Struthio camelus: one gene and its partner. The protein of the gene in region 1 interacts with the protein of each later gene in a biochemical or structural test. Links are inferred from orthologs where the notes say so. Each region holds a gene or a part of one and is shown on either strand. Other genes may lie near its edges. The genes, in order: FOXA2 and OTX2.

Region 1 (14,581 bases):
ACAGTGTAATTGTACCAATTCCCTGGAGGTGCCGCAGCTGACTTTTTTTTTTATTATGTAGGTAACTCAACAGATACGTGAAAAATTCTCCTCACCATAGAATGACACTTATTGAAACAGTTCCCATCTGCATCTCTGAATGATCAAACAGTATTGCTTCCTGACATGCCCAGTAGAAATTACATTACACTTCAGAAACTTTCAAAACATCTTCAGAAAGACGATCCTGAAATACTTTTATGAAACAATACTGAACACTGGCCTTGTGATTACAGCTTTGGACTGCCATGCTGGAGATCTGGTCTTTTTTCAGCTTTGCCACAAGACTACCCAGAGGACTTTGGTGAAGACACTCAGACTCTTTAGCCTATCTCTCCATTTCAGTAATGTGGATAATAATGATTCCATTATCTATTTTGCTTGTTTGGTGTGAAAGTCCTTCGGACACTCCTTGGGACACTACTAATCCAACAGAGTCACTTGACCTTACAAAGAGCTACTTCCAAGGATCCTAATGCAAAAACCTATGAATAAAAAAAATGACAGTGAATACTGCGGATGCCACATCTCACAGTGGCAATCACAGCTCCCCTCACTCTGTCCCAGCTCCACCGCTAACTCTTCCCTTTCCCAAGCTGAAACCAAACTGTTGCTTCCCCTGAGTGCAGCAAAATTCAGTGCAGCCTCTTCCTCTAGTACCTCAGTACATAGATTTATCCATAATTTTCATGCCTTATCAGGGAATGGCCTCAATAAAACCGGGCAGTAATTGCTGTCCCACTGTACAAGCATACAAGGATATCTCCTTTCCTGCCTGGCTGGCTAGTGAGTTGTCTTTTGTCTCTAACAAGATCTGCAGCAGTGTGGACTCCTTTTCCTTGTTATTACTAAAAATGCCTCCTTTCTTCAGGGCAAAGTCTGCATTTCTATCTCGCAGGACAGTCAGTTCCTCAATTAAAGAAAAAAAAGAAACTAACACATTTATTTCGAAACAGGAGTGCAATTGGGAGAGTTCATTATATTGGATTAATTACGATAATTATCAGTGGAAGGGAGATAATTACTCTGTTTGTTGCTGAGAATAAGGTAAGGGTTTCTTTTTTTTTTTTCATTACACCATTCATCCTGGTTTTGCAGCGTGAGTGGCACACTGGAAGGTAAATGCAAGCACATGGATTTTACTCTTTTCCACCCAAGCAACACCGACTTTATTGCTGCTCAGCGTCCAACTGAGTTTACTTGCTTACACTTCTGCTTTCCACCAAACCGCACCTGTGAGTCTCAGGCTCAGAAACATCCCCTCTTTCCCGACAAACGCGTCTTATTCAGTTATGGAGAAAGGCAGAAATGGCCTGCCCTAACTCTTACAGCAAATTGCTTTTGAAGTCTAGAAGCCTCCTCGCAGAAGAACTACTGGTTTGTAATGCCCCCGTCTCAGGGCTGCAGGCAGCTGGGAGGAAGGGCAGGGGCAGCACCAACAGGCTTTGCAGATCATGGGTTTAGACAGGCAACTTCAGGGGGCAACTCATTCCCTTCTGGACTGGTGTCTAGGATAGGCTGAGTGGCTCGCTGGCTAGAAGCGCCCATCCCTTCCTACCGACAAGCAAGGCAATAGGATCCCTAGCAAACACAGCTGATGTCCCACCTTGCGCTGGTGCACAAGCGCTTCTGGATGGGCCATGATCTGCACCTGCTCACAGCAGCCAAGAGCATGTGCTCTTGCTCCCTTTCTCTTTCATGCACATGAGTTTATGTGGCAAGCGCTTTGAAAGTAGTGAAGTGGATATGTCCGCTGTCCTCTTGGCTGGCAACCAGCAAGCAATGGAGATTGCCTCCAGCAGTGCCAAGTGCTTTCAATACTTTGCTCTAGTTGCTGGCCTTCTACCCCCTGAAAAGGAAGAGATGGCTCTTTGAGTCATGACTTCTAATGCAAATAAAAATGCAATTTAAAAATCAAATTTAAAATAAATATTAGTTAAATATTAAAGAGGAGAAATAATTTTTAAATAGTCTACGTATTTCTCAATAACCCAGCCAGATATGTTTAAATAAGACACCACAGAAAATTTTCGGTTTTTGTTATCTTTGGTATTTTTAAGAACGTTTCTTATAAGGCAAGCGTGCATATATATATATATATATATATATATATATATATATATATATATATTTTACTCCTTCTTTTTCCTCTCTTAAGATATATGAACTTTAATAGGTTTCCTCAGGGTAATGGTGTGGAAGGCTACCCTTGTGAAAAGTGAGAAGGTAGAAGCTGTAGGGCCTGGTCTGCCTAAGAAGCAGGGATCCCCCTTTGCTGACTTACGTGTCAGTACCCGCCTAACCACAAGCACAATTTCTAGCCACATTCAAACAAGCCACCATTCTTGAACGTCCGCCTGCATGAATGCAAATGATTGCATATCTCAAAAAGTGCATGTCTTTGTTTCACAAAGCCTATATATCAGCACAAGGATATGGTTGCTATAGACTCTTGCAGACAATGTATTCCCTGAGACGTGTATGTGAAAATACTTGGACGTGCAGACTGGGAAAAACACCCCAGTTCCTTGCAAAACCAGTTCCGCATATGATGATGAAGATTACATCAACTGGATGAAGCTGAAAATTAGACCAGCTAGGAACTTAAAAGACTGCAGGTGACCAGGTCTTTCATTATGTTTCAATATATCTTTTGACCTCTGTTTCGGAGTAGCACTTCAAATAAAACTTTTCTATCTCACTCAGCCACTGGCTAGGAGGTGCACATCTCCTAGTGATAAAAACCAATACAGAATCCTTTGCAGGTGTAAACAGGAGGGCGAGTGCCCTGGCTGCATGGTCTGACAAGTGCCTGTTAGCAGGAGAGACATCCAGGCAGGTGAAGAAATCCATGGTTGAATATTTTCAAAGTGACCTTCTATGACCTGCAAACACCTCAGTTTTCACTGACTCATGGAGATCAGAGACTCTTCCACTCTCTACGCTTAGCTCTTTTGCTTCAAATAGAATAAAATCTCATCTCTATGGGTGTGAATCCAGAGGTATTGCTCCATGTGTAATCCCAAAACCCATTTCCCATACAGCAATAATCCTAATTCAACCCTCTGAAGAGGCTCATTTTAGGTTTGGGCATCACTGGTGCCTCCTTTCAGCCAGCAAAGAGGGGTTTTGAAGATACATGAACTGTCCTCAGATTTGAGGTCAAATTCTCCCACCAGGATGAATTTCACCCCACATCCTTTAGAGTCAGGAAGGGTGAAGCCAAAGATTTCTTTGCACCATAAAGCTGCTTTCCATTTCATGCACACTCCAGAAAGTGCAGAGAGGGATGAATCACTCATGGAGCTGGAATACAACAGAAATAGAAATTAAAGTAGATACATATCTGTCTAAATCATTTTCATTATGTTTTACATAGCCAAGGTGTATTCTACAGCATATATCAACCTGAGGAGGTCAAAAGTCTACAAGAGGAAAGCTGAACACTAAAGCTCCCTGAAGTTCATGGGAAAGTCTACATTAACTTCATCTGGCTTTGCAGCCAGCAATGGCAAAGGGAGCTTCCTTTCTTTAGAGCATCATGTTTAATTTCCTTCTGAAACAATGGGGGGCTAATGCTGATGGATTTACCCAATTTCCCTGTCAGGGAACTTGCATGAAGGTGCAGAGGGCTCCCACATAGAGCATTTACATGTTATTCCAGAGAACTGTGAGGGAGAAAATCACCCACATTTTTCCCTTTTTTTTTTTCTCCAAATGATAAGGGAGGCTTTGAGACAGAGTGAGTTCAACTCTTAGTTGTTTTTCTGAAAGGAAGAACCGTGACCCTTTTTGTAAACGTTTCCCAGTAGCCAAGGAGGAAGTAGAAGCGCAGTATAAGTCTCTGGAACCATTTACAGGATGAGTATTACGGCTCTTTCACTTTCCAGGTGACTCTCTGGCACTGCATCCATCATATCCGTTGATGTGGACCTCAGCAACCCTCTATGCAAAACAGGGAAAAGAAAACAGAGATTAACAGTCAGAAGTCCCCTGGGCTGCTGAAAGAGGAGCTTGCATAAGGAGGAAAAAGGCCTCTGAAAGTTCCTGGTGCATTTGTCTTCCACCCAGCACACTTAGTTGATCCTTTCTCTGGTCCTGAGTGAGTCCACTCTGCAGAGTGTGCAGTATGAGAACCTACAGGGATCTACTTGATCCTCTCTTCAAAGCATCGGTTGCTGATGCTCTTGGGATGAATTGGATCATGACTTTTAAGCAGACCTCCATGCCGATCTGCAGGGGGTGCAGAACTCAGGCTGCGATGGCTCTTGAAATTGCCTGCTGCAACCAAGCAATGAACCACAAAATCTTGGTAGAGAGAGAAGGATCTTTAGGACAGAAAAAGTAGTTTTCTTCTGAATTTATGATTTCCATGTATAAACATCAGAAGGCAGCCCATGACCAGGTTTAGTAGTGGAGCAGGCTGCTGCTAAGCTCTGTGTGAGGGGAAGCAGGAGGGCTTCCGAGAGCCTCTCCACATCTCACACTGCACTGAAAGGTCATTCATGTTGCAGGCAACTTCTTTTGCTTATAAAGGTTTCAGGACCAAGTAAGTGATCTTTAACATGAGGAAGAATGAGAGAGATTTGGATAGTGGGGAAAGTCCATGAAGCACCTTCATGGGAGGTGCTTCATGTAATAACCCAAGAATAATAAGACCAAGAAGGAAAAGCTTGATTTAAGTGACAGGACTGGAGCAACAGCAGTGGGAACATCCACTATAGCCCAGGCGCAGCCTGAAAGTAGATTATCTTAGGCAAAAATTTGAATGAACAGTTCAGGACTCTTGTGAAAGTAATTCCCCTTTGTCACTTTGCAAAATGTCCGTGCATGGGAAGGTGACTGGAGGTAGAAAAAAATCATCTTTTGTGGCAGAAAAATTCAAAGTCCTGCTAACCAGAAGGGAAACCACACTTAATACGAAGTAGTGGTTAGTGAGAGACTTGGACTAGTAATTCTTGAGCCTGCAAAGCTTTGTATGTGCATTTGCCTCCTGTGACTGTTCCTGGTGAGGTGACAGACTTAGAGTATGTTCACATCTGTGCCTATGCAGGGTCAAGGCCTGAAGGCAGGTGAGTTTATTGGCACTAGGAAATTCTCCGTATGGCCTCTCTCCTCTTCCCATGGAATTCAATAGGAATTTCACTGTTAAATCCAGCAACGTTGAAAATACATGCTCACATCCTGCACTTTGTGTCCGCAGGGGAAAAAATGATGCTAAAACTAACCACAGGTTGCCCTAAATGACTGAAGTTAACTGCAAATGAGAAGCTGACTGGATAGGATCTTTGAACTAATGGTATTAGCAGTATCTGGAAGAAACTTTGCTAATTTTACTGAATTCTCCCTTTCTAAGTCTTTTCACTCTGCTATGGGATATTCCAAAGGAACAAAAAGCCCTGTTAAAATGCATAGGATTTGAGATAATAGTCTCTGTATCCCGACCCATCCTGAAGGTAGAGGCTTAGGCACAAGTTCACACTTACTGTTAGGCATAAAGCTAAGGTGCCTAAATCAGGAATAAAATCAGCCTGGGCTCTGTCCATAGCCAGGGAGACAAGGACAACTGGAGAGAAATGCAGAACTTAGGGGTGGAGAGGGATGTAAGAGAGACTACACAAAGTCAGATGAATCTAGCCCAGGACCTTGTTTCGGACAGGGACCCACAGCAGGTGATTAATGGATGAAAGTAAGACACAGGGCACATGCAGAGTATTCCTTCCCTGGGAAAAACTCTTCTCTCTTCTGGAGAGGAGTGGAGAAGGCATTCGCTGGGACACTGTGACTAGGAGACCTACCCTGTACGAATTCACCTATGCCCTTTTTGAACCCATTTACCCTGTTGGCCCCCAGAAAATCCTGCAGCAGCGTGCCCGGACCATGTAGTTGCGTTGTATGAAAAGAAAAACAAACAAACAAGCAGCTCCTATCCTTTGGCCACCGTTGCGTTGTCTCAGTGTGTCAGGCAGCCTCAACAGCCAGTTCGGTCTCTTCGCGCACGCGAATGATGCACAGCCCTCTGCAAGGGGCGCGGTAGGTGCCGAATTGGAAGGCTTAAAAAAAAATCATAGGAACGCTTGCACGTCTGCAGAGAAGAAGGAGGGGCTGAAGGCCACCCAGGGAGAGGCAGATAAACCCCCTTGACTAGGAAGCTGTGACAAGATTTCTCCGGCCCTCCGTAAATGAAAGGCAACAGTTGCAGGTGCCCTTCTGAAGGGCCCCAGAAGAAGGGGGTCACGGCATCTCGCCGGAGGGATTTGGGATGTGTGTCCCCCCCCCTCCCGCGAAGCCCTCCAAAATTGGGGACAGCAAGCGACAGGGGGCGCGCCGCCACCATTTTTAACCTGCAGGACACAAGGGACAGTCCGTTTCCAGCCAGAGGGACACCCGGGCAGCATCACTCCTCTCACTTTTTGGTGTAAAATACTATTTCCCCGTTGTCTCAGCGTCTTGCCAAGCGATTCCCTCGGTGGGCAGAGGCGCATCCTTGGGTTGCGTTCTCAGTCTGGAGCCAAAAAACAGCTAATCGATCCCCCCCCCCCCCGCCAAGTATGGGCAGAAAAGGGTTGTGGTGACAGGAGGCGGATCTGCCAGGTAGCTGGCCTGAATATCGCGGTAGCTATCGCGATAAGAGCATGCCCTCCCCGAGCTGATGTTTTTTTTTTCGTTTGGAAGCGGCTCCTGAAGGCGCCGGAGTCTTGGGAAAAGTCTTTTTAAAGACTTCCTCTTAGTCTGAGTTTCCCTTGGTTAAATGAAATCCTGTTCTCTGTTGGGTTTGTATTGATATTTAGAAACTATTGCTAACCTTCGCTGATTGATGCATTTTTCCGTTCGGGAGGAAAAAAAAAATATTAAAAGAAGGTCAGTGATTTATATTTTTCCATGTGTTTTGAAGACAGATATAGCTAGATACAGAAATAGAAATATGAAGCCGATTGCGTGTAGAAAAAAAAATATACAGGAGAAATCAAGGCAGTAAGGTGTATTTTAGAGTCTTTTGGGCAGGCAGATTTACACTTTGCAATGACAGCTGCAGGATGCTGCTGGAGGAGGAATCGCCCGAGGGCTGGGAGGTGTTTGGCCACCAGACGGTGGTTTTTCCTCTTTCCTCCGTTTCCTCTTTCCCAGGGAAGGATCCGCTCAGTCCCTACTGGACCATCGCATTAAATCATTCTCCACTTGGTGGACATCGCCAGGAGCAAACGTGCCCGGCAGCACAGAGGGAGGTAGCCGCTGGCGGAGCAGCGGGCTGCCGCAGGGAGCCAGGAGCCGAGCGGGTTTTGAAGCGGGCTGATTTTTTTTTGTTGTTGTTGCTGTTGTTGTTTTGCTTTGTTTTTTGGGGTTTTTGTTTTTGTTTTTGTTTTTTTTTTTTTGGTTTCCTCGCCAGTGATCATCCCTCCTTCCTTCCCGCCGGCCGCGGCTGCCTGGGGAGCCCCGGCTGTGCCGCAGCCCGGCGGCAGGAGCGGCGGGACCCGCGGCGGCGGCGCTGCCCCCGGCCGCCGGGACCCCGCACGGCCCGGGGGCTCCGCGGCGGCGCCGACCGCCCGCGCAAAGGAGGCACCCGGCCCCGCGACGGCGCTTTGCCTGCACCCTGCCGTCCCCCCACCCCGCCTCCCCTCCCTGTTTGTTTTAGTTACGAAATTGTTGTAGGTACCTGAGCCAGCAACCTTGGGCCGGGCTGCGCGGCGCGGCGGAGCCTAAACGGCGGCTGCCGGCCGCGGGCGCCTCTCCCCGCACGTCGGGCCGAGCCCGGAGATGGGGCAGAGCCCGGGCGCCGCCGGCCGGCAGGCGGCCTGAGCCGTCGGGGCGGGGAGCCCGGGCCCCGGGGGGGCCTCCTCCGAGCAGCTGCGGGGAGCAAAAGGTGCGTGGGGCTGGGGGGGGGGGAGGCTGGGCAGGCGGGGCGGGTGGGGGGGGGGATACTGGGAAGAAGCTGCCGTCGGGGCTGCCGGGGGCGGCGGGGAAGGCTGGAAATCGGCTCCCGCAGGATTCCCCCTACGGAGCGGGGAGAAGCGCGGGTGCCGGGGCGGGGAGGGGGGCGAAGAGGGGGGAGACGACCTAGGGGTCGGCCCGCTGCCCCAGCGGTGCCGCTGGGCCCCCCGGCCTCGGCGGCGGGGCGCGGAGAGGTGCTCGGGGGGCCGCGGAGGAGCCTCTCCCGCCTAGGTGTGAGCTGATTATTCAAATGGGCAGCCGAGGACCTGGGGATTGGAGGCTCGCCCGGCGGCTCCGTGCTATATCACTCGGGCACCCACGTCACTGCAGCACTTGTCCTCCTCTTCCTCCTCCTCCTCTTCTTCCTCCCTCCTCCCTCCTCCTCCTCCGGCTCCTCCATCGCCTCCGGGCGACTCTTCGCCGCGAAACGCTGAGAAAACCCACCCAAGCAGCAGCAGGGAAAAAACCCCAGCCCCAGAGCAGCTCGATCCCCCCCCCTCCCTTCCTCCCTCCCTCCTCTTCCTCCTCCTCCAGAGGCTCAGGCAGAGGGAGCGCAACAGAGGGGAGGGAGGGCTGGGGACTTTTTTTTTTTTTTTTGGGTTGCTCTCTGTCGTCGTTTGTTGTGGCTGTTAAATTTTAAACTGCCATGCACTCCACTTCCAGTATGCTGGGAGCGGTGAAAATGGAAGGCCATGAGCACACGGACTGGAGCAACTACTACGGGGAGCCCGAGGTAAGGAGAAAGCCGGCGCTGGCGGGCGTCTGTCCCGCCGGCCCCCGCCCGCCTCCCCGGCCCCTGCCCGGCCCGGCCCGGCCCGGCCCGCTCCCCTCCCGGGACACGTCCCTCCGCTGCACCCGTGTTAGCCCTGGGATAATATTAACTCGGTCATCAAATATTGACTTGAGGAAGCTCCGGATCCTCTGCCTGCCCGCAGCCGCACGCACGCCGGCCAGGGCTGTGCTCGGCGCTGGGCAGCGGGCGCCGGCGGGGGGGGGGGGGGGGGGGGGGGGGCTGGGGAAGGTAGGGGTAGGAGGGAAAACATCGTGGTGCAAAGGTTGGCGGGCGGGGGGGGGTATTTTGGGAGGGTGTGTCGTGAGCGTCCCCCCCCCCCTCCCCGGAGAGGCGAGCAGGGCGCGGGTGCGTCTCGGGGAGGCAAAAGTTAGCGCGTTCAGGGCTGCATGTCGCTTTTTGCTCTTCCTCCCTTCCCTCCTCTCCCCGCCGGGTATTTTTTGTCGCTTCGGGCAGGGATATCCCTTCCTTTTCCTTCCAACTCCGAGGCTCGTTTCCAGGGACAGGTCTATCGATCTTGTTGCAATCTCTTTCTTTTTTTTTGTTTTTGTTTTTGTGTGCGTGTTTGTTTTTTTTTTTTTTAATTTTTTTCATTAACGAGCGTTTCAACACGCAGGAGCTTTAACCCTTCCCACCTCGCCGGGCAAGGTGCTCCGGGGCTGCAAAAGCTCGTGTGCAAGCGGCGATCTGGGTTGGGGCGGGGGTCTCCCCGTACCGTTTCTGTGCTTGGGGGGGCTGCCATCGCCCCTGGCAGGGTTACAAGTCTACCTGTTCCCCATCCCCCCCAAATCTTCCTCTCTCTCATTTGCCCTTGTAGAGCTACTCCTCGGTGAGCAACATGAACGCGGGGCTGGGCATGAACAGCATGAACACGTACATGACCATGTCGGCCATGAGCACCACGGCCAACATGACGGCTGCCACCTCCATGAACATGTCCTACGCCAACACGGGCATGAGCCCCTCGCTCACTGGCATGTCCCCGGGCACGGGCGCCATGCCTGGCATGGGCTCGGCCGGTGTGGCAGGAATGGGCACCCACCTGAGCCCCAGCATGAGCCCCATGGGGGGCCAAGCCGGCTCCATGAACGCCCTGGCCCCTTACACCAACATGAACTCTATGAGCCCCATCTACGGGCAGTCCAACCTTAACCGCTCTCGGGACCCGAAGACCTACCGGCGGAGCTACACGCATGCCAAGCCGCCCTACTCCTACATCTCCCTCATCACCATGGCCATCCAGCAGTCACCCAACAAAATGCTAACGCTGAGCGAGATCTACCAGTGGATCATGGACCTCTTCCCCTTCTACCGTCAGAACCAGCAACGCTGGCAGAACAGCATCCGCCACTCGCTCTCCTTCAATGACTGCTTCCTCAAGGTGCCCCGCTCCCCAGATAAGCCAGGTAAAGGCTCCTTCTGGACACTGCACCCTGACTCAGGCAACATGTTTGAGAACGGCTGCTACCTGCGCCGCCAGAAGCGCTTCAAGTGTGAGAAGCAGCTGGCCGCCAAGGACAGCGGTGGGGCAAGTGGCGGAGCAGGCGGCGGGGGCAAGAAGGGGCCCGGGCAGCCACCCAGCCAGCCGTTGGGGGAAGGCAGCTCCTCAGGCGGCTCTGAGGGCTCAGCTGGTGCTGAGTCCCCTGCCAGCAGCTCGCCGTGCCAGGACCACAAGCGTGCCCTGGCTGACTTGAAGGGCACGACAGGGCTGAGCCCCGGGGAGCCAGCAGCCTCTCCAGGGCAGCACCTCCTGGCCCCCCAACACGCTGGCCTGCCCCATGATGCCCATCTCAAGCCTGAGCACCACTACGCCTTCAACCACCCCTTTTCCATCAACAACCTGATGTCCTCCTCTGAGCAGCAGCATCACCACCCTCACCACCACCACCACCACCACCACAAAATGGACCTCAAGGCCTACGAGCAGGTGATGCACTACTCGGGCTACGCCTCACCCATGCCTGGCAGCCTGGCCATGGGACCTGTAACGAACAAAAATGGCTTAGAGTCCTCCCCTTTAGCCGGAGAGACTTCTTATTACCAAGGTGTGTATTCCCGGCCCATCATGAACTCCTCCTAAAGGGGCAAGGGAAAAACCTCCCCTCACAAGGGGAGAAAAACCACCCCACCCCAGCCCCTGCGCAGTCCCCTAGCAGAGGGATGGACTATGAACGCTGTTGAGCACGGTGCATATACATATATATCTATCTATTTTTTTTTGGTTGGCTCCAGATGTTTGCATCTGTTTGGGAAACAACTGATGTGTGTCATGCAAGCATCTCGACCCACGCCAAAGGCAGGCGTGTTGGTCCCCGCCGGCCAAAAGCCACCCATGTCCCGGGGGACCGTGATTCCCTTGGTTTACTTTGTGGGGTGGTTTGTTTTGGTGGGGAGGGGTGGGTTGGGGGTGAGGGGACGGGGAGAGTTTTTTTTTGTTGGGGTTATTTTTTTTTTCGTTGTTGTCGTTGCAGGGAGGTATAAATATATCTATTTTTTTGTGTGAAAGTGACGGGGAAAAAAAAACAAACAAAACGAAACCCTACTTCAGTGTGAAACCTACGCTAGTTTTGAATCCGAGGACCAAAAGTCTTGTAATGTTGTAAAAAGGAGGAAAAAGAGGGGGGTAAAAAAGAGAAAAAACTATGAAAAATTAAAAAAAAAAAGCAAGATAGATTGTTGTAATTGAAGCAAACGCTTGATGTTACCGGGAGAGTAAACTACTTGGATCTGATTAATTTATCGTTTCTGTATGCTTTATTTATGGCTTATAAATGTGTATTCTGGTAGCGAGCAGCCAGATTTTCACAGAACTATATTAAAGTGTTATTGGCGGTTTTTTTTTTCCCCCCCCCTTGCATCTCTTTTCCGTCGGGACTCTCCTCCTTTTTTCCCCGCCGAGCCGTCGGGCCGGGCTGGGCGGCCGGGCGCGCCCCGAGCCCCAGCGCCCCGCGGCCGCGCAGGGCTGCGCGCCGAGCGGGGTCACCGGCCGCCAAAGCGCCGGCTGCATCGCGCCAGCGGCGCGGCCCTTGCGCCTCGGCTCCGGCCGCTCGCAGAGGCTCAGGCCCGGTGTCCGAGCCGCCTCCGCGCTGCGTGACTTCAGCGAGCGCACGGTCAGGGAAGGGGCAGCCCGAGCGGTGCCCCCCGCGCCGAGCCCCGCGCATCTGTCCCGGCGAGGGAAAAAGTGGCCTAGGAAGCCGCTTCCCCCCACCTTCCCCCCCCCCCAAAAAAAAAAAAACCCGGACGTGAGGGGGAGCCGCAGGCCGGCTGGGGCCCGCCTGGCCGGCCGGGTCCGCCGCTCTCCGCCGGCTCCGACGGGGGAAGCGGCGGCGGCGGGTGGCGGGGCGCTGCCGCGGCCGCGCTTCCCTGCGCCCCGGGGCGCGGGCGAGCGAGCCCCCGCCGGGCGCCGCGGCTCGCTTTCCCTGGGCAGAGCGGGTGCCCTGCGCGGCAGCGTGGGAAAAACAAGCCCGGTGCCCCCGCTGCCCTGCGCAGCCCGGGGTTTGCCCTGCTTGCAGCTCCTCGCCCGCGCAGTCGCCTGGATTTTTCAGCGGGTAATTTTATTTAGGAGGAAAGGCGGGGGGATGGGGGGTGGGGCGGGTGTCGGAAATACAAATGTATCGTTGCCCTTTCCTCCGCAGAAATTGGGGAAGCCGGGGAGAGGACAGGCTGGCCCCGCTCCGGGGGCCCCGCTCCGGCTCCGCGGCCCCGTCCGCCGCCGCGGCTGGTGCGCGTTCTGCCCCTCGGCCGCTGCACACTCTCCCTCCGAGGCACCCCAGGGGCTACCTCTGCTTTTGCAAAGGTAGGGAGAGCCGGGGGTGGGTGACAAATCGGCAGCAGCGGGCTGCGGGGGGAGGCTTTTTTCCTTTAAACATCTCTCGGCTGGTCTGAAGCCGGCGCACGCTCCGGCCTTGGAAGCAAAACGTTTCTTCTGCCGAATCAACACCCCTCAGGCCAGCCCGGTGGGTTTTATTACTATTTATTTTTTTTCCCCCTCCCTGCCATACATATTCTGCCCGTTTTCCCAACCACTTGTTGTTGTTCCCACGCGTTTAAGGGAGTAATAGATGTTGCTTTCCGAAATAACATTCAAATCCTTCTTAAAATTCCGCATTGTTCGCGGAAAGAGAAAAGGGAAGAAGGGAGGGGGGAGGAGGAGAGGGAGAAAAACTTCCAAAAACAAAACAAGGATCCAGCCAGAAATCTGTCCGTCTCTATACTGCAAGGACACACACGTTGTGAACCAAGGCATAAAATGTGTTTCATTAACACATAAAAGGCTCCTGCAGGGAAGGAGAATAGGCGCACGGAATGACACTGATTTGGAAACAATGCGCCGCGCCTGTGATGGTCTAACCTGTTATGTTCTGTATCACACGGCCATTGTTAAATGGTAGTTTTAAACTACTTAAGCGTCTTCCACTCCGCTGATCCCAGCAGATCAGATATAGCTCTGTGCGAATACATAAAAAGGGTGTCATTTGGACGCCGGCTCGAGAAGCAGATTTTTTTTTTAACATTCCCCCCCGCTTTTTTTTCTTTTTTTTTTCTTCCTGTGGCCTGGTTCACGCTGAAATCCAGGACTGGGGGACTTGAGGGAGAGGGAAAGGGGGGGGGGAAAAGAAGACCACACTACACATTTCTTTTTCTTTATACCCCCTTCCCATTCTCGTTCCTTTGCCCCCCCGCCACAACCCACCCTCGCCCGCCCCCAGCCTTACTACAAGTGCATTCTGCTCCTGCCGGTTTAAGCAACCGTGATCTGTGAATAAACAAAGTCAGTAAACAAAAAAAGGGGGAAAATCTAGATCCAAATTCCAGGAGGGTAAACTTTCAACACCACGTCATACTTCAGCAAATTTACACAGATATTATATTGCGTCCCTTTCCTTCCCCCCCTCTCCTTTTGAGCCATTGTGCTTAACTGAATTTTATAAAGCTGATCGATATCTTGGTAAAATATTCATTTTTAAACTAGCGGGCAGTGAAATCTTTGCTTTGTGCTAAAGTCAACAGTAGCACAGTTTCAGCTCAAATAAATGCAGGGATGCTTCCCGTTCCTGCAGTGCTCGGCTCTTTCCAAGGCTGGCTCGTCTTCCAGCGAGCGGCACGGGGCAGCAGGTAGGTGACATCCATCACTCTTTCTTGTTCTTGTTCTTATTATTTTATTCATTCATTTATTTATTTATTTTTTTAGATTCCAACCTTCGGCTTCTCTTTAATTCCTCCTTCCTCCTCCCGAGCTCAAATTAAAGGCACTGGGGCGAGCAGAGAGACCAAACTCACATTGCCGGGGACTTGGCTGGGGTGGGGTGGAGGGGGGACAGGGGAACAGGTTTGCTCTCAGCTCCTTTAGCCCCAAGTTTCGCCAGGATGTAAAAGGAGCGAGGAGCAGGGTCCCAGCCCCGCTCCTTTGGGCAGTCCCCAGCCCGGCGGCACCTCGCTTAGCACAAGAACCGTTTTATTAGGGAAGAGCGAAACTCCGGAGAGACTGTCTCTGGTTCGGGCGGGGGGGGGGGGGGAGGAGGAAAGGGCTGTTATTTTGGGGAAGGGGAGGGGGAGCAGCCCATGCGGGAGCGGGGTACGGCGGGTCAAAGCTCGGTTTCTGGCCGTTTCAGCACCAGACCCGGTTTCTGAGGGGACAAGTCGTCACGGCGCAGCCGGCGGAGGGTGGAAGTGGGAGCGGGATGTGCGGGACCCGACTGTCTTGTGCCTTGTCCCTCTGGTCCGAGCAGTGCTCTTTTTTTCTTTCTTTTTTTTTTTCCTTTTTTTTTTTTCTTCTTTTTTTCCTCCCTATTTTAACCCCCCCCCTTAATGCATTTCCTTCCC
Region 2 (14,560 bases), on another chromosome or scaffold:
CCGCAGTGCTATGCTTGTGGGATCTTTGTTACCGGACACGCAGATATTCACGGGCACACAAAACACTCCCCTTCCTCTGCAAGTAAAATGCTATTTATTACTCATGTACAATTTAAGAAGGGAACATTTAGCTGTAGTCTTCGGAGCTAGTATTAGAGCTTCCTGTATAAAAACCAGCCAGCAATAACTGCGAGAGGGAGAATGAAGTTAACCATAAGAGTAATTTCTTATTCACATGGTAACAACAGTTGGTTTCTGATCTTTCGCAAGCTTTCTGTATTGGGCCTTTGTTTGGTTGGGGGGCTGCTTTTTGGGTTTGGGGGATATATTTTTAATGAACATTTGTTTCTCCACCAGCCAGCGGCTAAAGATCTGCAAAGAATGGCAAAGAAGATTTTCGATTAAAACCTTAGCCCATCTCCACGGATTACTTTATATCGATTCTTATATATATGGCTGCAATTGATGGGCTCTAATTAAAAATCCGAAGGGGAAAAAAAAGTTCTTTCTGGGTCTCAATAAAAGGAGCTTTTCATATACGGGAAATAAAGGTTGTAAAAGGTTACAAACGAAAGAGTAGTTTAAAGCTTCTCTGCGGTTTTCTTTTCTTCTTTCTTACAAAACCCTTTTTTTTTCTGGCTCTTTCTCTCTCTGCCCCCCTCCCCCCCGACCCCTTCATTTCTACCAAGTTTGCCAACATGCAAGATACTGGACTGTAACCGTTATTTTAATATCTGGGTTGGGAGCTATAATCTGATTGCTGTAGAAAGCTGCTCCTCAAGGTAACTTCATGGCCTGGAGAGAAAAATTATGTAAACTGGCGGTATTAGCGCCTCTCATCAGCACACGCACACGCACACGCACACGCACACGCACACACGCACCCCCTCGGCCAGCGCCGGCACCCCGCCCTCCCCGCACACTTTTTGCATCTGTGCGATTCATTTATTTCCCTATTTCAGGGCTTTTTTTTGGAGGGGGGGGAGGAAAGGGGTACGACCCGCAGCCCCCCACCCCCAGGCCACGGAAGACCTTCCCTCAGGTGTAAGCGCTGACCTCACTTTCTCTCTCTGCTCTCAGGGTATCATTTTTTGGACTTGTCCGGCTCTGGGATGTGCTGAGTCCTTCCGTGCAAATTCCGCATCGCAGCTCAACGCCTCTGCCGCCCCCTCCTTCCCCCCTCTCCATTCTCCCCCCCCCCAAATTATGAAAGTTGGTTTCATCTAGGCTAAGACGCTGCCTTAATTTTTTTTTAAAAGGAAAACAAAACAAAACAACTCCCCCCTTCCCCAAAGGAGATGATGGCTCTGTCACCCAGCTCCGAGCCACTTGAAAGAGGGGGGCTATTTTTTTTTTAGCATTCCAGCATTTTAAGACGAATCCTACCCTTTCTCCTAGTGACACATGATCTTTGCCGGTGGCGCTTCACTTGCACCCCTAAAAGGGAGATTTGGGGGTGTATCTGTGTGTGTGTGTGGGGGGGGCTTTCGAAAGGAAAAAATTCCCGCTATTGAATTGCAGATAAACTTCAAGGAAAATACGGAATATTTAAACTAGACACAAATCCGATGAGGGAAAAGCTTAAAAGTGCGTAGCATGCATCGCTTTCCGGCGCCGAGCAGAGATACAAAGATGACAAATAATAAATCGGTTCATTCTGGGCTTCGCTTGCCTCCTTAACTTTCGCCTAACCTGAATAAATGATTTCTTTCTTTGTCATAATATACAAACCCAGCAGTTCAGCGCGATTAGCCTGTTGGGCAATACACACAGCAATAAAAACACTTGCGAAACGGTCGCGTTAGTAAGAAGAGTTGAAAATTACACCAAAGGAAGAAAAGTAAACAGAGAGAAAGAGAACAGACAAACACATCTATGCAGAGAGAGAAAAAAAAATGAATGGATATGTAACACAATTGGCATCGGAAGTTCAGAAACTTACTGAGAATCAGAAGTTACAGTTTCTTTTCATCCCAGAAGCAGATTTTGGTTCTCTGAGTACAAAGTTCTTAGAGTGCAAATCACACATATCCACTCACTCCCCGTTTATCCCGAGCTAGTCTCGCTCTCTGGGACTGTACCTGCTCTGAAACTGTTTCCAAAATGAACAGAAGAGATTGGAAAGTTTAAAAAAAATAAAAAAATTAAAAACCGCAAGTTCCTACAGCTGCAGCAAATTTTTTGCAACTTTTCCATTAGCTGCAGAAGGCTGAAGGCAGAAGCAGCTGCAAAGTCTGTGCAGAATTCCTCCAGAAAGAAGGTTCCCCCTTTTTCCCCCTCTCCGATCCAATCTTTGCAAGAGCCATTCCAACACATTGCTAAGCTAAAGGGAAATTCTCTTTGATAAAGCGGTGTTCCCAGCTTCTGGGTTTTAAAACCTAAATCTATATTCAAATCTGGCTGAAGGTGTGTTCTGGGATTTATGAAAGCCTCTTAAAGGGGTAAATTTACCAAACCGTGACAAAATCATCACAATCTTACTTTAGACATCTGAAGTGGATGAGAATTTTTAAAGAGACCCTTGTTTATTTAAGTAACGCTGGCCATCTCCGCCACTTGTTTTATTGGCCGCGCGAATTATCCCGAACTGGTGCGGCGGGAGGGCGGAAAGGGGAAGGCTGGGCTGTCCCTCGGCGGGCCGCGGACCGGCGCGGAGCCGCCGCCCGGCCGCTGCCCCCGCGGCGAGGCAGCGCGGCCGGGCTCGGCCAGGGCTCCAGCCGCGGCCGGCTGCCGGGGCTGCGCTTCCCAACCTGCTCTCCCGGCTCCCAGGCACTTTCTCAGGCACTGAATTTTATTTTTCAGCCTCTGCCGCAGCCCGGCTTCCTCCAGCCCTGAACACCCCTCCCTCCATCCCATCCCTTCTCTCTATCTTTTTATATATATATATATATTCTTTCCCTCTTTATTTTTAATCGATTTCGAAAATACCCTCCTGGTCAGGATACACGGGAAGGAATTATCTCTCTCATTCTTCCAAGGTGGATTAAGGTTATTAAATAATATGTGGGGGCGGGAGACGATGGCAAAGGACGGGTGGTGGGGGGGGGGGGGAAGGGTCGAATCGGGATATTTATTACTGTTGCTCTACTAAAGGGGAGGCTGAGGGGTGGCGGGGCCGTGCCGACATGCGGGGAGGTGAGAGGGAAGGATTTTCCGGGGGAGGTGAGAGGGAAGGATTTTCTAGGCACGGCTCTCCGAGCAAGTTAGGGGTGGGGGGAACTGCAAAGGGACGGGGATCTGCAGCCACCGCCGCAGCCTCAAAAAAAAAAAAAAGGAAACAAAAAAAAAGAAAAAAGTGTCACAGCTCTGGGAAAAAAAAAAAAAAGAAGAAGCTAAAAGCAGTGGAGGCGCCGCGGAGGGACGGGCTCAGCGCGGGCCCGGGCCGCCCCCGCGCACAAACTTTCCGCGGAGTCGCGGCGCGGCAGCGGCCGGAGCGGGAGAAGCTCCGCCGCGGAGCCGGCGAGGGCTGAGGCTGCTTCGCTTTTGTTCAAGGGGTTATTTTGTTTGTTTGTTTGTTTGTTTGTTTGTTTAATTCCCCCTCCTCTCTCCTCCCTCCGTTCCCTTCTCTCCCCCCCCCTCCTTCCTCCTCCTCTCTGTGAAGGGGGAAAAAAAAAAAAAGGAGTCGAGCATCCGAAACCTGCTCCTACAAACCACGAGCTCGGGCTGCACCGAAAGCAGCCCTTAATTGCGCTAAGTCCAGCGACAACCGCATTTGATTGCACACCGCCGGGCTCAGAAAGAGCCACAAAGAGGCGAATTAATTACTATAACTTCATTAACATAGGTTGCCACATTAAAACGATCGAGCCGCTTCATTTTTTTTCTCCGCTGTTGTCGGAAGTGAGGAAAAGTGTGTGCAAGGCGGTTGGCGGGGGGCTGATCTCTCCTTCGCTCCGAGCTGAAATGCCTCCCACCTCTGAGATCTTTTAGTTTTTCTCAAGGGTTGTTTTAAGGGCTGGTTTAACGGGCTGCGCGCTATGGAAGGGGAAAAGTTGATGGCAGAGATGGGGCTGAGATTGAGCCCGTCCCGCGCCCGCCGCCCTCCCGAGCGGCCCCTTTCCCAATTTCGCCGCGGTTTTGACCGCGGCTAGAAGTGGGCAAATATTCCCCTTCAACACCCTCGTCACCGCTCCTCTACCCCTTTGCTGCACTGACTTTATTTGTCTTAAAATCTTTGCCTGCCCGTAACTACAAATGCAACGCGCCTCCCCAGCATTGTATACCAGACATGCACATTTATATAAATAAATAAATAAATATATATATATATATATATATATATATATATATAGTATGTATATACATACACCCCGGGATGGCTGATGGCTCATTTCCCCTGGCTACCCCTCGCCCTGTGGCTGCTTGCGCGGCCGCGGAGGCCGGGCCGGGTCCCCTCGGGCTCCGCGCGGCCCCCGCGGGGCTCTTCTCCCCCCCGCTCCGCGCTGCTCCCCCGATGGGCTCCAGGCAGGCTCCCCCCCTCCAAAAAAAATGTTTACTTATATATTTTAATATCTTTTGTTGTTATTATTGTGCCCCCCAGCCTTGTGCCACCCCTTTCCTTTGCCGGGCAATACGGGAACGCGATCTCTGCTGTCCGTCACGTTAATTGTACAATGAGTTCATAAGCTCCGGTCCATAATGTATATTTTTAAATCGAGCAGGTTCTTTTAATGTATATTCTCGTGTCATTTCGGTGGCTGTTATTTCTCGCTTGATTGTCCCCCCGGTACAGCAGCGGCCTGTTTTTTCCTCCCCCTGTTGTGTGTTTTTATTATTTTCCCCCTGGCTTAGATGTGTCAATCACTCTCTCCCTGCCATTGGTTGGAGAGTTTGCGTCAAAAAGTTGCCAGAGAGGCGCTTTCTCAGCAAAGCTCCCCGAGAGAGGTAGAGACCTCAGCTCCAACGCACCCTGCCACTATTATTAAAAATAAAATCGCTTGACCAGCTCCGGCACCGGCTAGCTCTGTATGTACCGAGCCCAGACCCCGAGCATCCCTGCATCCCTCTCCTGCACCATCCGCCCTTTCCTCCCTCATTTATTCTTCTTTTCCAAACATTTTTTTTTTCTCTCTCTCTCTCCCCCCCCCTCCAATTCGGTGGGCATGTGCACGATGCGAGCTCTCTAACCTCCCGCTTTGTGCTTTCTCTCCCAGCTCAGCCCGACCCTTGAATTCGGCGAGGATCAGGGGGAGCAGGCTGCACCCGGCGCCCCCCAGCCCTGCCCTCGGCCCCAGCGCGGCTCGCAGGTAAGTGAGATCCACCCGCTATTTTCCTTCCGTCGGGGGCATTTGCCGTCGGGCCTTTTCTCTCCGCGGGCAGGAAATTAAAAAAAAAAAATTAAAAAAATTACAATTATAATTTTTAGCAAGAGGGTGGGAGTGGGGGCCCCGCTCGCCTCGGCGGCGGCGGGCGGCAGGGCACAAGGCGGCTGCGGGCCGGGACGGGCCGGGCTGGGGCAGCCGCGGCCGCTCGGCCCTGCGCGGGCGGCGGGGCCGGCGCGGAGCCCTCGCGGCTCTGCCCCGGTGCCGGGGTTTCGCCTCTGCCCCGAGGGCATCGGCTTCATGAAAATGCAAGAGAGCGGAGGGGATAATTGCGGAGGCGGGGAGACGCTTCCCACGGATTTTCTCGCCTCGCTTTATTTTGCCGGCCCCGGGATGTCTCCCGTGGGCAGGCGGAGGTCGGGGCGGGCTGCTTTGCGCCGAGCTGGCCGTTCGCTTCTCTGCAGACAGGCGCGTTTATCCGCCGCCGTTTCGTTGAGGGCATAATTTTTCCGGCCTGATCCTTTGAGCTTTACCTCCTCCCCGACCCCACCTGGACTTCCGAAATTAGAAATAACTGGCAAGACATTTCCCGCCTCCTCCCCGTTTCCACCTAAGATGCTCGCTGCCCGTGCAGAGAGAGACTTGAGCGAAGTAATTCGGCAGAGGTGGCCCTGAGCGCTGCCGAGTTTGCGGCCGGAGGTTTGGGCAGGGAGCAGGAGGGAGAGACACGCGGAGGGCGTCGGGGGGCTGGAGCTTCGTGTCTCGGCGCGGGGCTGCAGCTGCCCTCCAGGCAGCCGCCTCCCGCGCTGTCCGGCTTCGGGAAGGCGCTGCCGGAAGACACCGAGTCGGCTGTAACGCGCGCTGCTCCGCGCCCCGGCCCGTCTCCTCTAAACACCACCCGGATCGACAGAGGCGAAATCCGCTCCGCGCAGTCGGCCGAGTCCTCGTGTACAAGTTTCTTTAGTGCTATGCAGGGATTTGTTTCTGTGTGGGACCCTCCGAGAAGCTGAGCTTTATTATTATTATTATTATTATTATTATTATTATTATTATTATTTTTAAATATGCAGCTCCCATAAAAAGCAGTTAACAACGCGGTCTGGCGGGGAGGGAGCGGTGGGGCAAACGGTCCAGCAGCAGAGGTGCTGCCGGCGGAGGCCGGCTCGGCCGCGGAGGTGCAGGCGGCCGCGGAGCCGCGCGGAGGGCCGGGCTGCTGAGCAAGGGCGCGCCGGGCTCCGCCGCCGTGCTGGGAAATAGCACAGCGCATCCCTCCCTCCGAGAAAAAAAAAAAAAAAACATTTTTCATTTTTTCTTAATGCGGTGGAGCCAGGCGCAGGGCTGGAAAATCGAGCTTTTGCTAGTGAAACAAGCAAAAAAAAAAATTACTTTCCTATCTCTGCTCGTGTGCGCACGCTTTATGCCCCCCTCTGGCCGCTGCCCCGCGGCGGGGCGAGCCCGGCGGGGCCCCCCCGACGCCCCAGCTTCCCCGCAGCTCCGGGAAGGGCAGAGCCGGCGCTGCCCCTCGCAGCAGCCGCCCAGCCCGGCCGCGTTTTGTTCCCTCGCATTAATCAGCCCGAGTGATCAGCAGAGCCGCGGCCGCTGTCCCGTAATTAGGGAGCGTGTGCCGCCCGGATTATCTCGTTAGTTTATCAAGAAAACATTTATTATAATTAATTCTTGGACGGGGTAATTATTATTGAGCGAGGGCAGAGCAACTGGTAGCCGGGATCTTTGCGAAAGCCGGAGGCCGGGTGGCGGGGGGGGAGACGGGGGAAAGGTGACAGATTGCGGAGCGGAGCCGTTGCTCCGCGGCGGCCCCGGGCTGCGCGGCCGCGGCCGAGCGGCGGAGAGCGGCTCCGCGGGCGGCCGCGCTGCGCGGGCGCCTCGGCGGGCCGCGGGCTGGGCGTGCTGCCCCTAGGTTTAAAAGGCCGTTTGGTCTTTTTTGTTATTATGATTATTTATATTATTTGGGGGGAGGGTGGAGTTGCTTGTTTGTTGGTTTGTTTGTTTGTCCTTTAAGGGAGCATCGCAGTCAGCGTTGCTCTCCCGCGCAAGCCTGCGCGGCCGAACGCGTTCGCGGCCCGAGTTGCGCCGATGCCGGTGCGGAGCGCGGCTCCCACCAGCCCGGAGCTGTCCCACTTCAAACCTCTCCCCCCCCCAAGAACTGGGGGTTAAAAGCGGGGATCGACCCTGGGCCGAGCCGCGCTAGATGCGCGCCGCCTGCGCGCACGTGAGTTAACGCCGGCGTTTCGCAAAGCGGAGCCTGCCGAAGCGCTTCCCCGCGGGGCAGGAGGGAAACTTTTGCAACGCGTTTAAAAACGCCGGCGGTGGGAAAGGCGGAGGGCGGCGGGCCGGGGGGACGCGCAGGGCCCCTCCGCCTGCGCGCAGCCCTCCGCGCTGCCGGGGACGGCGGCTCCCACCGCCCGCGGGCTTGCTGGCCGAAACGGGGTGTGCGCGGGAGCAACTTTTCCCGCTACTCGTTTTGTTTTGTTGTGGTTTGGTTTTTTTTCCGACGGTCGCTGCCAACGGAGCGAGATTTGGGGGAAAGAAAAAAATAAAAAAGAAAAAAGGGGAAACAAGTAAATGATTTGCCAGGGGAAAGGAAACAATTTAACCCTTGGAAGAGCCACGAGCTGGCCCCTGGCCCTTTGTCCGCCATGCTTTGGAGGAGCCCTTGTTTGGGGGGGGGGGGTATGTGGGGCCCGACCCACCGCCTCCCCCCCGGCCGGAGCCCCCGGCGCCGAGCGGGGGGACCCGGCGTCCCGGCCGGGCCGCGGGGGGAGCCGGGCCGCTCAGCGAGGTGTTTGTTTAGCTTTAGCTGCGTAATCAAGAGTTTCTTGAAAGCCTAATAAATCTGTTACTTGCCTCCAAATCTAATTACCCGCAGTACTAATTAGGTGCAAATGGCCGGTGGAAATTACTGCAGACGTGGAATGATCGCGGTAGAGCAGAAAAGTTTGGCTCTTCCCGAGCGGGCATTTGAGCTCTGAAATGCAGCAACGTCGGGGGGAAAAAGGGGAGGGGGGGGAGAGGAGGTTTGAATGTTGCCCAAACCTGGGATAATTAAAGTCCTTGCAAGAGACTAGGGGAGAGATAGGTTTCTTGAATTGTTTCTTTGTTTCTCACCCTTGGGCTTTGTTATCTGCATTATTTATTTAGCCGAGGGGTTCTTTGTGTCTGCGAATGGCCCCAATCAAGTTTTGCTTGAGACAATTAGCTAGTGCCCGGCCGGGAATCCTATGCAAATGCCCGGGGTAGCGATACAATGCGAGCAGTTGAAGGCATGGGGGGGTTTTGTTCGGCTGCAGAGCGGGCTGCAATTACTGGATGGGATGTTACAACCCCCCCGCTGCCCTTCTCCTCCTTGCCTTTTTTGGGAGAGATGCCGTTTATCTAGTCAGTCTCTCCCTGGCTCCCAAAGCCGGCTGCCGGGCCGGCTTTTTAAGAGCTGAAGGACTGGCCGGGGGAGCTGCGGACTCGAGCCAGGCGAGCGGCGACAAGCGACAGCCCGTCTAACCCCCCCCCCCTCCCCACCCCGCTCTCGCCCGCAGGCGCCCGGCGGACCCCCGGCCCCGACGGCAGCCCCGGCCCCGACGGCACCGCCGCCGCCTCGCCGCCCGGCCAGGCAGGGCCCCCCTCGCCCGCATTTTCGGCCCGCTCTCCTCCTCCCCACCACTACTTTAGCATGATGTCTTATCTTAAGCAACCACCTTATGCAGTGAACGGCCTGAGTCTCACAACCTCAGGCATGGATTTGTTGCATCCCTCCGTCGGCTATCCCGGTAAGCCACGTTTTTCTCCTTGCTTTCCCCACCACCAATTCCTCCTTTCTCTTCTGGCCCCACGGATGTCCCGAGCAGGGCAAGAGGTCAGGCCTCTGGAAGTGGGGGGCACAACATGCCCAGGGACCACAACCCCGGGGCTGATGGCTGCTGAGGACAAGGGTCCCTTTTCCGCCCTCCCTGAACTCTTTAGCCAGGAAGAGGGTTGAAAACAGGGGGCGGCTTCATGCTGGACGTGGATGTTGCTGATCCAGGTCACGGAGGAAAGATGGGGAAGGTGCATCTGAGGTGGCACGGCTGCAAGGAGGCAACCGAGGACCTGGATGCGGGGTGGGGAAGGCCCTAGAGAGCTCCTTCCCCTATGGGGGGCAGGTCACCCTAGGAGCCACCTGCCCCCCTGCGGAAAGGCCTGGGGGAGCGGGCTGGAGGGAGGGCAAGCTGTCCGCCAGGCCCAGGGGCACCCGAATGACAGCCGGGGCCGCCGGCTCCTCTTCGCAGCCACCCCTCGGAAGCAGCGGCGGGAGCGTACCACCTTCACCCGGGCGCAGCTCGACGTGCTGGAGGCGCTTTTTGCCAAGACCCGCTACCCCGACATCTTCATGCGGGAGGAGGTGGCGCTGAAAATCAACCTGCCCGAGTCCAGAGTGCAGGTAGGAATCAGGATGTCCTCGCCTCGGACGTCCCTGCCTCCTGGCCACCTCCGTCCCGGTGCGCAGAGGCCTCGGCCGCTCCGCCGCTGAGCGGGCAGGTGGTGATGCCGATTTAGCGGATGAGGCCAGCCCTGGAGGGATAAAAAGCCCAGAGTTTCTTCCCTATGGGGCCAGGGAGGCTGGTAGACGGGTGAGGGACGGCAGAGAGGTTGCAGGGGCGACAGTAGAAATCTGCCCGTCCTTGGCTTGAGTCTGCCCTCCCCTTCCTCTCCGGGAAAGGGACGTGTGTATGTTGCGGAGGTCTCCAAAGCACCTGGATCCCAGCTCCTGAGCTCCTGAACCCTTCCCGGCACCCTCGGTCTCTGCACCTCAGGGAGGTGTCCCCAGCATCCCCAGGCCCTGCAACAGGCCTTGGCCCAGGGGCCAGATCCTGGCCCTTCCCAGACTGTCTTGCAGGAGTTTGGGGCCGCCGGAGAGGCAGTGAAGGCTCTCCCTTCCCTGGGGATCCCACCGAGGGATCCCACATCCTTGGAGCTGGGCCAGACGGGGATCCCATTTCATGCCAGTTCACACTGGGGCTTCCTCTCTCTCCAAAGGGACTTTGATTAGAGAGAAAGGCGGTCTTGCAGGAGGGGGAGCTTCTCCTGAAGCTGGGCCGTGTCTCCTCCAGGAGCATCCTGCAGGCGTCCATCCAGGGAGGGTTTCACTGGGTTCTTGGGAACCTGCGCTCCCCCGTCACAGATCCCGGGGACACTTCTACAACGAGCACCTGCAGCCAGGGCAGGGCAGCTCCAAAGCCCTTGGCTCTCCCCGTACGAGGTTTCCCAAGGCCCTGGTCACCCGATACGCGTGCGGCCGTGCCCCACCTAGCAGGTGGGGACCTGGACTCCCCCCCCCCCCTTACTCAACCACAGGCTTTCGCACTCACTAAACCCTAACTTTCCCCTGCAAAAGCTCCCCCACCGCAGGCATGGGAGCAAGGATCCCTTCCTGCTCACAGGCAGCCCCCGATCCCAGCCCACGGAGCTTGAGAGGGACTGGGGGGGCCGACCCCAGCTGGGGGGGTGAAGAGCAGAAACCCTATTTAGAGAGTAAATGAGACATCTTTAACCCCCCCCCCCAACCACCACCTCTGTTTCCCTAATTGTTTCCTCCCTTTATGATGCTCTATTGTTTCTAATTAAGGGCTTGACTTCAATAGGCCTTAAATGGTGATTCCTGGGGGTCCCCGGCTGGCAAACAGCAAATAGGGAGTGATTTCCCCCCCTTCCCCCAAAAGTGACCTTATTAAGCAGTTTGATTTGCCCATTTCCACTTGTTATTACTGCTAATGATCTCAGGGAGGGGGAGCCACGGAGCCTTTCTCTGCAGTAGCCTGCAAACCTCCGCACGCTGGGGAGAGCTTTTGCTCCCCTCCAAGGTCCCCCCTCGGCCAGCTCTTGCCCCCTTGGGTTCGTGCCGTGTCCCTAATACAAGGCTTCTCCCTCTCCCTCCCTCTCTTTGGGTCTCAAGGTGTGGTTTAAAAACCGTCGAGCCAAATGCCGCCAGCAGCAGCAACAGCAGCAGAACGGGGGCCAGAATAAAGTGAGGCCGGCCAAAAAGAAGAACTCGCCAGCCCGGGAAGTAAGTTCGGAGAGCGGGACCAGCGGGCAGTTCACTCCCCCCTCCAGCACCTCGGTCCCCACCATTTCCAGCAGCAGTGCCCCCGTGTCCATCTGGAGCCCAGCGTCCATCTCCCCGCTCTCAGACCCCCTGTCCACCTCTTCCTCCTGCATGCAGAGATCCTATCCCATGACCTACACCCAGGCATCAGGTTACAGCCAAGGATACGCTGGCTCGACCTCCTATTTTGGAGGGATGGACTGTGGATCTTATTTGACCCCTATGCACCACCAGCTCCCTGGACCGGGGGCCACCCTGAGTCCCATGGGTGCCAATGCCGTTACCAGCCACCTCAACCAGTCTCCAGCCTCCCTCTCCACCCAGGGCTATGGAGCCTCGAGTTTGGGCTTTAACTCAACCACCGATTGCTTGGATTATAAAGACCAAACCGCCTCCTGGAAGTTAAACTTCAATGCTGACTGCTTGGATTATAAGGACCAGACGTCGTCGTGGAAGTTCCAGGTTTTGTGAAGGCCGGCGGGAACCTTTGTGATACCCCGAGAAACCGCGACGAGAACGAACACGCTGGGCTGAACATTCCCGTTTTAGTCAGGTCTTGGTTAAATTAAAGAGAAAACAGTTCAACGAACAAACGGACAAACGAATGAACAAAAAAAATAATAATAATAATAAAAATAAAAAGAGAGACAGTGTTGGTGTGATCATATTCAGATTCATCTCCTGCTCAGACGCTCTGGAAAAGGAATAATAAAGAGGAAACGGAGGAAGAAGGCCTTAAACGGACAGATCATCTAGTGAGCAGAAAACAGACAGACCAATCTGTGTTCTTTATAGTTTTAGGCAATTGTTGGGTTTCTTTGTCTGAAAGAGGTGGAAGATCATTCCATCGACGGGCCAGTTTTAAAAAAAAAAAAAAGTCTAGGTTTTTATTTCTTTTTGTGTGTGTGTGGAAAGATCCTTCACCCAGAGGTTTCCAATGTGTTAGCCAACCCTTGGTTAAAATATTCGGAATGGACAGCATCGCTCTCCGTCTTTCTCTCTCTTTTTCTCTCTCCCTCTTTCTCTCTCTCTCTCTCCAGCTCATTCAACTGTTTCATGCCACTTGCTCAAGTTGGCGCTGAAAGAACTCGGTTCAGGGCTGTGTGGGTTGTGTGACTGATTGTCCTAGCTGCACTACTTTATTTAAAGAAAAAAAAAATAATGTTCATAAGGAGTCAATATGTAGTTTTTAAGAGACAATCAGTGTGTGTCTTATATAAATGGTACATCTGTGGTTTTTAATCTGTGCTAGACTTCAAAACTGTGATCTCCTGTATTGTATGCAACTACGAACACCGCGCCAGCGGGAGTTCTGCTGTGATTTAAATAGGTTATAATTATAAGTGAAATTCAGAGCAACTGGGGTACCTATTATCATCTTAAAAAAAAAATAAAATACAATATATGTTAAAAAAAAAAAAAGCGATCGCCTTTCGCCAGAGGTGAACTGCACTGAAACTTTTTACAACAAACTGTCTCTGAATGAAAGAGAAAAGAATGAAAAAAACACCCAAGGACATTAAACTCCTCTGTAGTTAACTTACTGTTGGCCACGCTAGCAGTAACAATAAAATAAAACAGGACATTGGGCAGTTGCTCTGACCTGGATGAATTTAAACTGAGAAAATCATTGTCGTTTATGCTTGCAGATGTTAACTGAAGAAAAAAAGATATATATGCATAAACCTTTTTTCCTGGATTTGGCAGATATGTATAATTATATTAAAATGGTTCTAGCACACTTGATTGTTGTCTTCCATTTTAATTGTATCCAGTGAGTCATAGAGAGGGGGCAAAACAGTCTGCGGCGGAGATTTCTTGTTCAAAGTGAGGTTAGCGGGGACAGGAGGAGCTCGCTTGTTCTGCAGGCCAAGGCAAAGGCTGCCCGGCTCTCCCCAAATTTTCTAGCCCGGTTCCCCCTAGGTGCGTTTTGATTTGTGGACAGTGAAGAAAGCGCAATGAGATTTTTTTGGTGTGTGGTTTTGTTCGTTTTTTTTTTTTTAAGTAAAAAACGTGCATTTCAGCCAGATCTGGGCTAGCGTGACCCGGCCCTCGTGCCAAAATCCCATCCTTCGTCGGAGGCTGTCTGGAGGCGAGGGCAGGTATTTGCTACCTGCGTCCCCACGGGAGGCGCGAGTCGCTGGACGCCTTGAGGGACATCCCGAAAACTTTCCCGGCAGGAGAAGGGAGCACCTGGGAGTGATTGCGGCGGAAGTCGCCTCCGCGCAGAGGTGCTGGGGAAGGAGCAGGGGCAGGCTGCGACGGTTTAATTTCCCGAGCCGAGCGCCCAGTGCCCCGCGACGCAGGGAGGGATCAGGCCCCTTGCAAGCGTGCCTGCTCGGGGTGGCTCTGCCTGCCTCCTGCTCGCACATAGCTGTGCACCTCGGGTCTGGATTTAGCCCCCTTAAAATGCAGCAAAAAACAGACTTCTGGGGAAAAAAAAAAAAAAAACAGAGAGAGGGAGACAGGGGGGAAAAAAAAAAAAAACCACGGAGGTCAGCTTGCACCTCCGCGCACCCACCCTGCTTCCTGCGCCTGGGCGGCTCAGGGGCCAGCGGCCCCGGAGGTGACTGTCGCCTGCCCGCGGCAGCGCCCAGGGCCGCCGACGGCACCGCTCGCCCGCGGCGTCTCCTGCCGCTGCCCGGCGGCGCCCCGCGCTCCCTGCGCGGGCTGCGGCCCCTCGGCGGCCGCGGGCGCACGTGGGCCGAGCCGCTCTGCCGGCGCCCGCGCTGCCCTCCGCCTTGCCGCGCGGCCCCCCCAAGAGAAAGGGGTGCAGCGACGCGATCCGGCTGCGGGCGAAGGCGAGTGTGCAACGCCGCTCCTTGCTCCCGTTTTTACCTTCTCTCTCCTTTCAGGCCGGAGACTCTCGGCGGGGCAGGGTTTGCAGAGGGCAGAGCCCAGCGGAGGCTTTCGGGCCCTTCCCGAAGGACGGGGGAAGCGCCCAGCACCTCCCGCGGCCACCGACGCTCCCCCGCCGCCGGGGCCGGCGACGTGTGCCGGTGCGGACGGCGAGACGCGGCCCCGCCAGCAGGAGCTCCGGCAAAGCAAAGCGTAAAGTTTCGGTTCTCCGCCGCTTTGCCTTAAACCGGCGAAATGTAACCCAAGGGGAGCGGCGTAAGCGAAACAGCCGCCGGGAGAAAACCCCTCCTCGCTCCGGCGGGATGCGGCTCTACACCTGCTCGGGAAAGCTCTTTGTTTTGTGGGC

Evidence for each region.
Region 2: the proteins of FOXA2 (region 1) and OTX2 form a complex in vitro, tested with the Homo sapiens proteins (2 studies listed by BioGRID). The link is inferred for Struthio camelus from reciprocal best matches to the Homo sapiens genes FOXA2 and OTX2.

The regions. Positions count from the first base shown.
Region 1 is NC_090944.1:146,427,316-146,441,896, reverse strand, and holds FOXA2 (hepatocyte nuclear factor 3-beta), read left to right. Parts: upstream 1-8,155; 5' UTR 8,156-8,614; coding exon 8,615-8,701; intron 8,702-9,575; coding exon 9,576-10,838; 3' UTR 10,839-11,588; downstream 11,589-14,581. UniProt on the Homo sapiens protein: Transcription factor that is involved in embryonic development, establishment of tissue-specific gene expression and regulation of gene expression in differentiated tissues.
Region 2 is NC_090946.1:78,851,076-78,865,635, forward strand, and holds OTX2 (homeobox protein OTX2), read left to right. Parts: upstream 1-8,946; coding exon 8,947-9,043; intron 9,044-9,541; coding exon 9,542-9,693; intron 9,694-11,205; coding exon 11,206-11,826; downstream 11,827-14,560. UniProt on the Homo sapiens protein: Transcription factor probably involved in the development of the brain and the sense organs. Can bind to the bicoid/BCD target sequence (BTS): 5'-TCTAATCCC-3'.